Drosophila melanogaster: one gene and its partner. Changing the gene in region 1 together with any one later gene gives a genetic interaction. Each region holds a gene or a part of one and is shown in the gene's direction. Other genes may lie near its edges.

The links.
Region 2: of Pdf (region 1) and Dh31, changing one suppresses a phenotype caused by changing the other (phenotypic suppression), as found in Drosophila melanogaster (one study listed by BioGRID).

The regions. Positions count from the first base shown.
Region 1 is NT_033777.3:26,454,038-26,459,033, reverse strand, and holds Pdf (Pigment-dispersing factor), read left to right. Parts: upstream 1-2,892; 5' UTR 2,893-2,970; coding exon 2,971-3,279; 3' UTR 3,280-3,572; downstream 3,573-4,996. Other genes in the region: CG14238 (uncharacterized protein), read right to left, coding at 488-681; CG14237 (uncharacterized protein), read right to left, coding at 1,792-2,157; CG43117 (uncharacterized protein), read right to left, coding at 3,994-4,221. UniProt on the Drosophila melanogaster protein: Neuropeptide PDF is the main transmitter regulating circadian locomotor rhythms. Required to maintain behavioral rhythms under constant conditions by coordinating pacemaker interactions in the circadian system.
Region 2 is NT_033779.5:8,502,786-8,508,554, reverse strand, and holds the start of Dh31 (diuretic hormone 31), read left to right. Parts: upstream 1-1,709; 5' UTR 1,710-1,762; intron 1,763-1,848; 5' UTR 1,849-1,920; intron 1,921-5,769. UniProt on the Drosophila melanogaster protein: Regulation of fluid secretion. Stimulates Malpighian tubules fluid secretion by activating the apical membrane V-ATPase via cyclic AMP of principal cells in the main secretory segment.

The DNA.
Region 1 (4,996 bases):
AAACAAACAACAAGTCTGAGTGATGCGACGAAAGGTAAACAAGAGTCAAAAAGACTCCATCCCCCACGAAATTCCATTAAAGTTTTTACTAGTACAAAGTGTGAGGTGGACAGCTTACACTTGAAAAAAAGTACACCCCGAAATGATAATACAAATTGGCTTTAAGATACAAAATTCATAGGATTTCCTATTTCTAGATTCAATTCATATGCATATTTTTATCCAAAAATCCTATGTAAACTACATTGTGTTGTTTGGAAATCGTGGCTACTTTTTTTTTGAGTGTGGGGGTGCGGCCGCAGTGTTGGTGGTTTCTATGAAAGTGGGTGGCCAGGTTAGGCACACATTAAACACATGATTTCACTTTTAATTGAAAATCAAAACCCCGCGGCATGACGTCAGCATCGACTGACTGTTGTTTACATTTCGAGTTGGGAGTTTTAATCAGATGCCTGGGGTAGCCAGGATCCGTGGGTTTCATCCTTACCAGCGCCACTCCTGCGTCTTCTTGATCATGATGGTGAAGATGCCCTCGAGCAGCAGCAACAGCAGTGGTCCACATAGTGCCCAGTATATGATATCACTCTTTAAAGCCACCACCTGCCAAATGGCCAGCAGGCTGTGCGCACTGAAGATGATCCTCGTGAGGATGGCCTTGATCGTCGAGATTATCTTGGCCATGGCTGCAATGACATAATCCTCTCGTGCTCGCTTCCTGCAGCTCGGATAATCAGGACCGAGGAATACCACCAAATCGACCCGAACCGACGAAGCGAACCGCACACGGCGAAAAGGTAAACGCAACTGACAGCAGAAATCGCGGGGTCCCAAATGCTTTCATTAGATGTTTAAACGCTTTTTAAGAAATTAAGGACACAGCCGCGAATGGCGCGTAATTGGTGAATGGCCACGGACCCCCGTCCCGATGTCCTGTGTGTGCGTTCAGGACGAATCATCTTCGGCTTGTCCAGGGACGAACTGCAGACCGAAAAGTAAAGATTCTTCATAGTAAGGAGAGAGTAAAAAATATGGATCTTAAATAAATTCTAGCTAATAATAACTTTCTTAATATATTTTAAAACCTTTTTTTTCCATTTTAATATATGGGAAATTAAGTTTCATTTACTTTCTATACTCTGATGTGACCAAGACGCTCCTGGAAATGTCTTCCCAACCGAAATCGAACCCATGCGTGTTTCACTTATGTGTGCCTCCAAGTCACACCACGACCATTAAATGCTTCAGCTGACTTTTAAGACGGCAAACGGTGGACGATAAACGCGGAGTCCGCGTTCCACCCACCGGATTTTGGGTCTGGCCACAAATGCAGTGCAAACAAATCGTCGGAGTGAACGACGCCGAGCCTTGGCCATCAAACTGCTGGGTAATGTGGCTGCATGGAAAGTTATAGTCATCGTAAACCTACCCCGTCGAGATATATCCGATGTTTGCCCATTGGTTGGGGGGCGGAGTTGGGTCAATGTTTTTGCCGCACGTGAAGTCATTGAACAGGCATAAATAAAGGATGATGTGCGTTGTGTGACTGGGCACAGCCATGCTAGAAGGGGCAACCTGTTGATGGGAACAAAGAAAATTTCAAATAAGGTAAGTAATTTGGCATATATTACGCATACGACATGTGCAACAACCATTGGGGAATCCTTCGCTTTTCACACGTTCTAGTACTGACCTTTCTATTATCCTTATGGTTTTAAATACTCAGATGTTTTTTTTTTTTGGAAAATTGCTTTTATTGCATGTATGGATATGACTTGATGTGGATTTTGGAACCTAGCCCTGATTGCGGCGTCGCAGCAGCCTATTGAGGCTGCGCACACTGACCCGCCTTCCGGAGCGATTCCTGGTCCTGTTCCTGGAAGTGGAACTGGCACTGGTGTCACGGTAGACGCGCACCCTGCGCTTAATCGAGTACTTGAGGTTCTTGATCCTGAACCGCTTGCGATGGACCTTCGAGGAGGAGGAGGAGGAGGAGGAGGACGCGGTGGTGGTGGTCGTGGTGGCTGCTGTCGTCGTGGTGGTGGTGTCACTGTCCGTCGTGGTCGTCGTAGTCTCCGTGGTGGTTGGCGATGAGGCGTTGGTTGCCCAAATGCATAGGCTTATCGCTAGGATTCGGAGTGCCAGTTGTCCTGTCTTCATGGTGTGCTCGGTGATGCCGTTGCTCGGATGAACTACCACTTCGGAGGCTGGGAGTTTTATATGTGACCAAGACAATTGGCGGAATTTCTCAGCAAATATTTGCATTTTGCTCTCGCCAATTACGTCCGCGCGAAATTTTTTGGCCATATTTACACAGTTTGGTGATCAAACAAAGGAACAAGCTGGAATTTCGCAAAACGGCCCAACTGCCGAGCTAGCTATTAAGTTTTATATATATTTAAGATTGGTATTTTTACGAGCTTCGTTCTAAAATTAATCACACAATTACACAGAGAGAAAACGAATTGAGCAAAATATTATTCACAAATAAGGTTCGTTTTAATGGAAGGTCAGCAATTTTGTCTGCAATCGTATATTATTTAAATCCAATAAATAAGTTGGTTTAAAGAAGTGCCTAAATTGGGTATCCTCCTTTTTTTTGAGTGCCACATGGAGTCGCCAGTGAGCTGCCTTCCCGTACAAATATCGCTGGACTTGAATGGGATTTGGTGCCTGCATGTTGGCACATAAAACACTGCATAACCAAATATTTGCGTGGCTCCAACTCGACTCCGTATTTGCCTGGGCTAAAGGACCGCCGCTGCCTGCGGATGACATGTATTGGTCCTGCGGATGACACCGATACTGACGCTCTTGGGTTGCGTGGTCGGGCGGTCTCCCGCAGTGGGTTATCCAGTCCAGGTTGCTATATAAGTCGAGGATGCGCCAACCGACGTTCATTCGCAAGTCTCCTGCTGCAGGTGTTCCGTGCTCAGTTCCTGCTCCTGGCCATCCTTCCAGCTCCTCGGACTAATGGCTCGCTACACGTACCTTGTCGCCCTTGTGCTTCTGGCCATTTGCTGCCAGTGGGGATACTGCGGCGCCATGGCCATGCCGGATGAGGAGCGCTATGTGCGCAAGGAGTACAATCGGGATCTCCTCGACTGGTTCAACAACGTGGGCGTGGGACAGTTCAGTCCCGGCCAAGTGGCCACTCTCTGTCGCTATCCGCTGATCCTCGAGAACTCCTTGGGCCCATCCGTGCCCATCAGGAAGCGCAACTCGGAGCTAATCAACTCCTTGTTGAGTCTGCCCAAGAACATGAACGATGCGGGCAAGTAAGAACGGAAAATGCTGAAGGATTAGGACGACCCACCACTGAAAGATGGAACCTGGACAAGAATTTATTATTTGATGTTATAGTATGATTTTTTGGTGCGTCGAAGGAAAATGAAAATCCGCAGATAAAAGCCGGTGTAGTCATCTAATAGAGAGAAAAGACCGTATAACTTTTGTTGCTTTAAACCTAAATAGAAAAATATACAAGTAGCCTATTGTAGAAATGTTGTATATTATTAGGCTTACTGCTGAAATAAACGTTTTCTGGATTGTTTCGACTTGAAATCTGGTACAACAACTAGTCAGGATTTTTATTCTTAATCACAGATACTAAAGCTAGTTAAAGATATTGGTTATCCCCGTAAAGGGCGAACCAATGAAAGCCAAAGGTGTTCTCAAAGTAGATTTTGTTCAATGCTACGATTGGAATAAATAGATGTTTCTAGCTTAGAATAGCAGCCCCATTTCGTTTATTGACTTCATTTATTATGCTATATCTAAGCAGTCAAAACCTAAGGAACTTGGCCATGAACTTGGCAAACAAATGCGTAGAAAGTAAACTAAATGAGAACTAAAGTATGTTCATAAAAAACACACTTATAAACAGAAAGACAAAAAGATCTGTATGTAGAAGTATAAATTGTTGTGCCCATTATTAGAAATGTGTTTTCTTTAGGTATTTTTTATTCGCCATTGTTTGGTAAGCTAAAGATCTTATTAACCAGATTTCTTGTTAACATGGATCCTGCGCACTGTCTTATAGTGGAGATTACGGATCGTAAAATGTTTCCTATGAACGGTTGTGGCCTTGGCAGTGGTGGTTGTGGTTGCCTCCGTGGTTGTGGTGTTGGTGGATGTGGTGGAATTGGTCTGGGCTGAGGAAGGCTGCAGCAGGCAGAATCCGGCGAATAGGACGAGCGCCAATAGATAAGTGCTTAGCTTCATTGTGCGGCTTTGCAAGAATCGTGAATGTATAAGACGAGGCTTTAGAGGCCTTTATATATACGAAAGTTTTCTACGCCAGACAATAACAAATATCCGCAGATGATAAGTAAATAGCGAAATACAATTGAAAATCAGCAAAAACAAATTTTGCACGCCACATTTTGCTTAACTTGTTTGCTTCCAATTCGATGTTTACCCGCCGCAGGAAAACAGTTGTAGGCGCGTTTAAATGACGGCAATATATATATTTTTCTTATAAGATATATAACTATGTTAATCAATGTTGCTGATTTATATTAAATATCGAACGATTCTCGATTCGATTTATGTGTAAGTTCATTTGGCGCTGTTTGAAATCGGTAAGTATTGTATAGAAAAAGTTATGCGTATGCATTATGTCTGATTAAGCTTGAACTATGTGTGTGTGTATTTATGCAAATGTTAATGCCATATTGAAATTACAACATTAGACAATCGAATTGTTGGCAACTACTACAAACATGATGTATACAATTCTATTCATTTTCAAATTACAAAACAATCAATTCTCGCTGGCCTTTCGGTCCGATTAATAAAACAATTGTAACATATGCGAATGTGTGTATATGTTGATGCTTCTTGCTTCGGCTCAAAATGCAGTTTCGGTAGCTTTTCACTTACATGACTATGCCTGCTATTGCATAAATACTAACTAACTGGCCGTACACTGCCTTGGCTAATCATTAACGGCTAATCTAGCATACAGTATGTGGCTGCAGCGGAGGCACATCTACCA
Region 2 (5,769 bases), on another chromosome or scaffold:
GCAACGGTCTTTGCTCAGCGGGAAGTTGCAACGTGTACACACAACAAAGTCAATTTCAATTTTCATAATAACTGATTTATATGCATATATATTTTATATATATTTTTTTCGTAAAACTCCTCATTTCCGAACCATCTATCCAGTGGGAGTACAGCAAAATGCAATTTCTTTGATGTCTCGCCTTTGACGAATTATGTATTATGAGTAGGTTGACCAAAAGTAGCAATTCGCTTGCATAATTTCTCTTAATTAACATGACTCGCCGGAACTTTGACAGTAGAATGTTCATATGTCCAGCTGTCTTGTCCAATTCCATCGTGCGAGATCCATTGAGCGGCTTTTTTACATGGGCAAGGTCGCTGCTCCAGAGATTAGAATCACGTTCATGGTAACCGCCGAATAAGTATGGCAAAAACCAAATACCAAGCCGGACACGTCGTCGGAAGCAACAAAAACATTGTAAAGCTTTTATCAGCCCAAATTATCATTAGCCGCGTTCTCTGTGCCTGCCATAAAATCCATATATATGTATTTGTCCAGATAAACATGCATACTTCCATGTGGATATGGGCGGTTAGGATTCCCTACATACGCATTTGGCATTTCCCCATTTCCGCTAGCCAACCTTTTGGTACACATGAATTAGCTTCTGAAAAAATGTGGGTCACTGAAAGGATTTACATGGATTAAGGTATATTAAGCTGAGTTAGAAAACAAAAAGAACTTGCAATTCGTTAGCACTAATTGTCAAAATAATTCAATGAAAATGCTCTATAAAATGATACTTTCCTTAACATTAATGGATTCCAATTCACATTGGTCTGTGGTAATTTGAAAAATATTTTATGATTGCAAATTTGAATATTGAATATAATATTTTAGACAACTGGTCTATACTAAGTTTTAAAATATCATATAATCACAAGTCAATGAAGTGGCCATTATTGAATATGGAACATATTTTTGTAGGCAACATAACCTTTATTTACTATTTAGGATTGCCATAATCAAATATCAACAGCAACCATTCAATTTACATCAGTCAGTCCGGATATAGCCAATGATATAACTTCCTTATCAATATGGTGTCTCTTATCTCATTACGATATATGGCTTTTAGGGACGACTAATTGTGAGCATGCGAAAATAACCGAATAATTGTGATGGTAATCTCTCAACTGATTAGTCAGAGTTGCTTCGCAGAACGATGAGATAGCTGATGTACTGCCAATTATGAGATAATGCACGTAAAGTTATTAATAATCTGGAATATTGGGGGGGATTTATATTGGATTTGATGGCTGACAGCTGCCGCATCCGCGGGCACTAATTGAAAACTATCAGATGCTGATTAATCCAATGCTGATAGTCATGATCGATGGACAATGGCTCGATAAACGCTTCGATAATTGTGCGTAATAGATGATTAATAAACTGATGCAGAACGTAGCCAACTGTGTGTTGCCGTGTTGCTGTTGCCCTTTTGCCACGTGTTGCGTATACGACCAGTTGGCCAGCACCCAACGACCATCCCATGACTGCGCACAATCCCCATTGAAATCGGCCCAAAAGCAGCAAGTATCACGTCGTGGGCGGACCCGAGGACGTGGACCGAACTTCGGAGTTTCCACTCGGGTGCCACCTGAACGCGTTGAAATCTTTCGTATCCTGGACTCGTATAAATCGCGGTCTCCTTGGCTGCCGATTTCACTTGCGTTTCAGTCTCAAAGCGGTGCAGTCAGCAGCAGTAACGGTTAATATTGTAAAGAACCGATTCCAAAAAGTTTTTCAAAATCCCATCGAGCATCGTCTCTCAACGTTTTTGAACTTTGTTCTTGTGTTTTGCAGTGGAATCGATCTAAACCAATCGAACTTTGATCGCAAATAAAGCGAAAGTGTTGTGTGCATTTGTGAAAAAGGGTGAGTGATAAAGATATTTAATTTTCAGTTAAAATTAAAAAATAAATTGAAAATTTCGTATGCTTATTATTAATTTGAGTAAAGAAAAACTCTTATGTCCAAAAAATCTTATTAGTTCATATTATTAACTAATATTTATTAGTAATTTTCATAATCCTCTAAGTAAATAAAACCTTGCGTTTTTGATTTTAATTAGTTCTAAAAAACCTAAAACATTTTGAACTTCAGAAAACTATTTACATAAAATTCGCAATCAATAAGATTTTAATCCTTTTTTTTTGCCGACGGTTAATTTGCAACTTTTACTAAATTTCAAACTATTTTTCTTTTGCTTTTAAGGAAAAGTTCTTTAAGGTTTTTGGTATGCAAATTATAAAATCAAACATTTTCAAAAACACACGGTTTTTCCCGTGTTTTAGTTTGAAAATTAAATTTGCATTGAATTTGAAGATAGTTTTCTTGCTGTAGAATTATTGTCAATCAATTAGACAACAATTTCGTAAATATTTTAATTTTAAGAAAGTGAACTTTTTATTAAATTTCTAGTGTTTAAATTCTTGTTAATACTTGCTCTTAATTATGCTTTCTTTGCTCAAAACTGCCAACGTTTATTATTCAGAAAATGAGCTGGCCTTTTTATAAATTGCTTCTTAGCTGGCCTAAGCCATTAAGTCAACATGTAACCCAGGACCGATGCTGAGGTCCTTCGATGATGTGTGTTGAGCCCAGGACATTTGTTGCATCCCCTTTGTCCTTCCTAAATGGGCTGGGCACTCTTTGGGCTTTGGCCCAGGCGACCTTTTGGCCCCAGTACTCGTATCTGGGTAAATCTTTATTTTCTTGCTGCAAAATTGAAGCTGGCTCCTTGGCTTTATTACCTCTTGGCCCGGCTCGGGCCAACTAAGTCCTTTGGATTATCGCAATCATTTTGAGCTTTACTTTTGCTCCCACATTAGAGCGCCTTTATAGTTTTATGATCTTACGAGCAGCGCACTTGGCTGTTACTAACTTAAATTGCCAAAAGTTTAGTGAGAACTTGTGGAAGTTCTGATCTTAAAGTTGGGCTTATGAAATTAATTTCCCTGCATTAGGAGGAACAACAGTTGGGCGATTCGAGTTCGCAGAAACTCCTCAATTGTTCAGTGATTCGAATGACTTGATGGCCCAAAAAAAAAAAAAACTTAAAGAAAATTCAATTGAAGTTGCCGACAAGCGCGACTTCAAGTTGAACGTTTAATAAATCAGCAATTTAATTTCGCTTACGTGGGCATCAAATTGAAGACCATTTAACCATGTAGATTAAAAAAAGCATAATTGAAAAGTGATGAAATTAAAAATGTATTAAATGCGGTGCATCGCAAAAGCCGCTTAGCTGCGGCAGTAGAAAACGTGAGTTGCTTTTGCACAGTGTCCACGCCAATTGCTTCTAATCCTTTCCATTTTTTACATCCGATTTTCAAATTGAATATTCAGTATCATGGAAGAAATTGTAAACAAGACGGATTATGTTTTAACTGGCTTTGAATGTGGGTATAGCAGCTTAATTCGGATACTATTTTAAGCTTTGATTTTAATTGGTTTTAGTTCACATGATTCCGAATCCAAAAAAATCCCAAATCTTATTTAAGTAAAATATTTATTTTTATGCACTATTTTATAGCACTTTTCAATTGACAAAGTATAAAAGTTTAACTAAACTCACATCCATCAATTTCCGCAATAAAAGTACTTTTATTCACTGTTTTTCACACCTCCGTCGACCTTTTGATCATTTTGTGTTGCCTACTTTCTTGCGCAAAATGCCACTTCTGGAAAATTCAATTCTCTCGCTCAGGTGCTTTGGATGAAATGGAGGTCGTGAAAAAAACTACTCATTTTCATGTCCTGCCCTCCGGTTGTTTATGAAATGCTCTCTACTGTGTCGATTTGTGGACAATTCGTAATTCGTGTTTTCTTTAAATTTACAAAAGGCAGCAAACAGGAGATGCAGACGGTAAGAGGGCTGATGATTTGGGTCTTGGGATTTCCTTTTTCATCGACGCTCATTTTCTTTTATCCCTGGGTCTGTGAAAACACTCAGATGCGGAAACTTTCGTGCTTAATTAATTCGTTTTGGAATAAAGGAGTTTACCTCAACTGGGCAACAATTAAAAAATGCTTAAGGGGCTTTAAAAATTCACTTGAGCATCACCAAAAAAATGGCTTAAGCCCCAAAAATACGAAATACATAGACGCATAGAAGCTTAGGAAACTTTTTGGGCCAAAAGTGGAGGGCGAGTCTCCTTGAACTGCTCTCGCTCTAATGAAATTTGCATATTTTTATTAATTAAATTGTTTAGCCAGTGTGTTTACTGGCAGCATCCGAACTTTGGCCCCGCCGTCTCACATGTGCATACTAATCACCGCAGGGCAGGGGAATCCCCTTCGAAAATTAACATGCCCCAAGGCAATGAGAATGCCAAAAAACAAACTGGGGACAATTGCAGATGAAAATCGGATGCTTTTCATTAGCAGGAGTCCGTGTTTTTGCTCCGTGCTAAATTCAAAGATTCGTGGCAACTTTTCAGGCTTATCTGCCCATTTATTGCATTTTTATTAAGCGGAGTACTTGGCTCATAATATTTCCGCTTTATATTTCTCCCCAAAACGAACCCTGCATGAATTTAATTGAGCACGATTTTCAGTCCGAAAATGTTTACGCCTCTAATTGGGCGAGTTTATGAATTCATAAACTCTCAAATTGCCGGGGTGTTAAAAGTCAAGTGAAGTGGGCTTTATGTAGTGCGTAGCAATTTGTTAAAAGTTGGTTGCAAAATGAGCAGCAATGCCTTTTCGGTAATTAATTATTATGCTATATATCAAGTTTTTAGATTCTTTTACTGAGCATGAAATGTATTACATTCAACTAAAATTGTATGGTAAAATAATAGGGAAACAGTAACTTTGCTATTACAAAGTGTAAAATTTAATTCAATTAGTTACAGAAATTTTAATGCTGTTGCTTTAATACGCGACCTACAGTACCTTGAGCCCTGTTTATCTAGCAGATATATTTCGGTGCTCGCCTTTCGCTTGAGCTACTTTATCTGCAATTCTGCAACCAATATTGGCGCTTAACTGCAGGTAATTTCTTACCCCATTTGATTCATTTTGAGCTGCTTACGCCGTCATGGAATGTAAATTCGGTCTCTTAACATATAAATTTTCACTTTCCTTCGACACAAGCCCCAACCCCACCAATGGAGCTCCACGAGCAGCGCTTTGATGGTATTTCACCGCACAGCTGCCAAATATTTATTCGCATTTAAAAAGTATTTTATGTTGCATTTTCCCATAAGCATTCTCCTGGGCACTTTGGCTGCTGCTGCCACGTGAGTCCAAATACCAGTGCTCGGTGATAAGACATGCATTCGACCTCGCCGAAGGTCCTCGTTGCCTCCATCCATCTGCTGCTGTTCCCGTGTCCTCAAAAATGCTTTGGCGTTGGGTTTTATGCGAGCTGCTCCTTGGGAGTGTTTGTTTTAATCCACCCCCGACCAAGTCGCCCAGATCTTGCCTGAATTGTTTGTATGACAAAGTTAGCATTTTGTAATAAATTCGCTTCAAAAAATATTTGAATGTTTATGGTCGGTATTCAAATTAAATACTATGCTGCGCGAAACAAGTAAAGCCGAACATTAAACGAGGTACCAATAAAATGTATTTTTTGAAAATTTGCCTTTGAAATTTTTGCGCCCGTTGAAATTTTCATTACTATAATGGAAAAGAATAATTTTTTAACAAAAAAAAAAAAGGAAAAGTAAATGAAACGTATTACCTTAAGGAAAACAAGGACCAGGAAACGTTCCA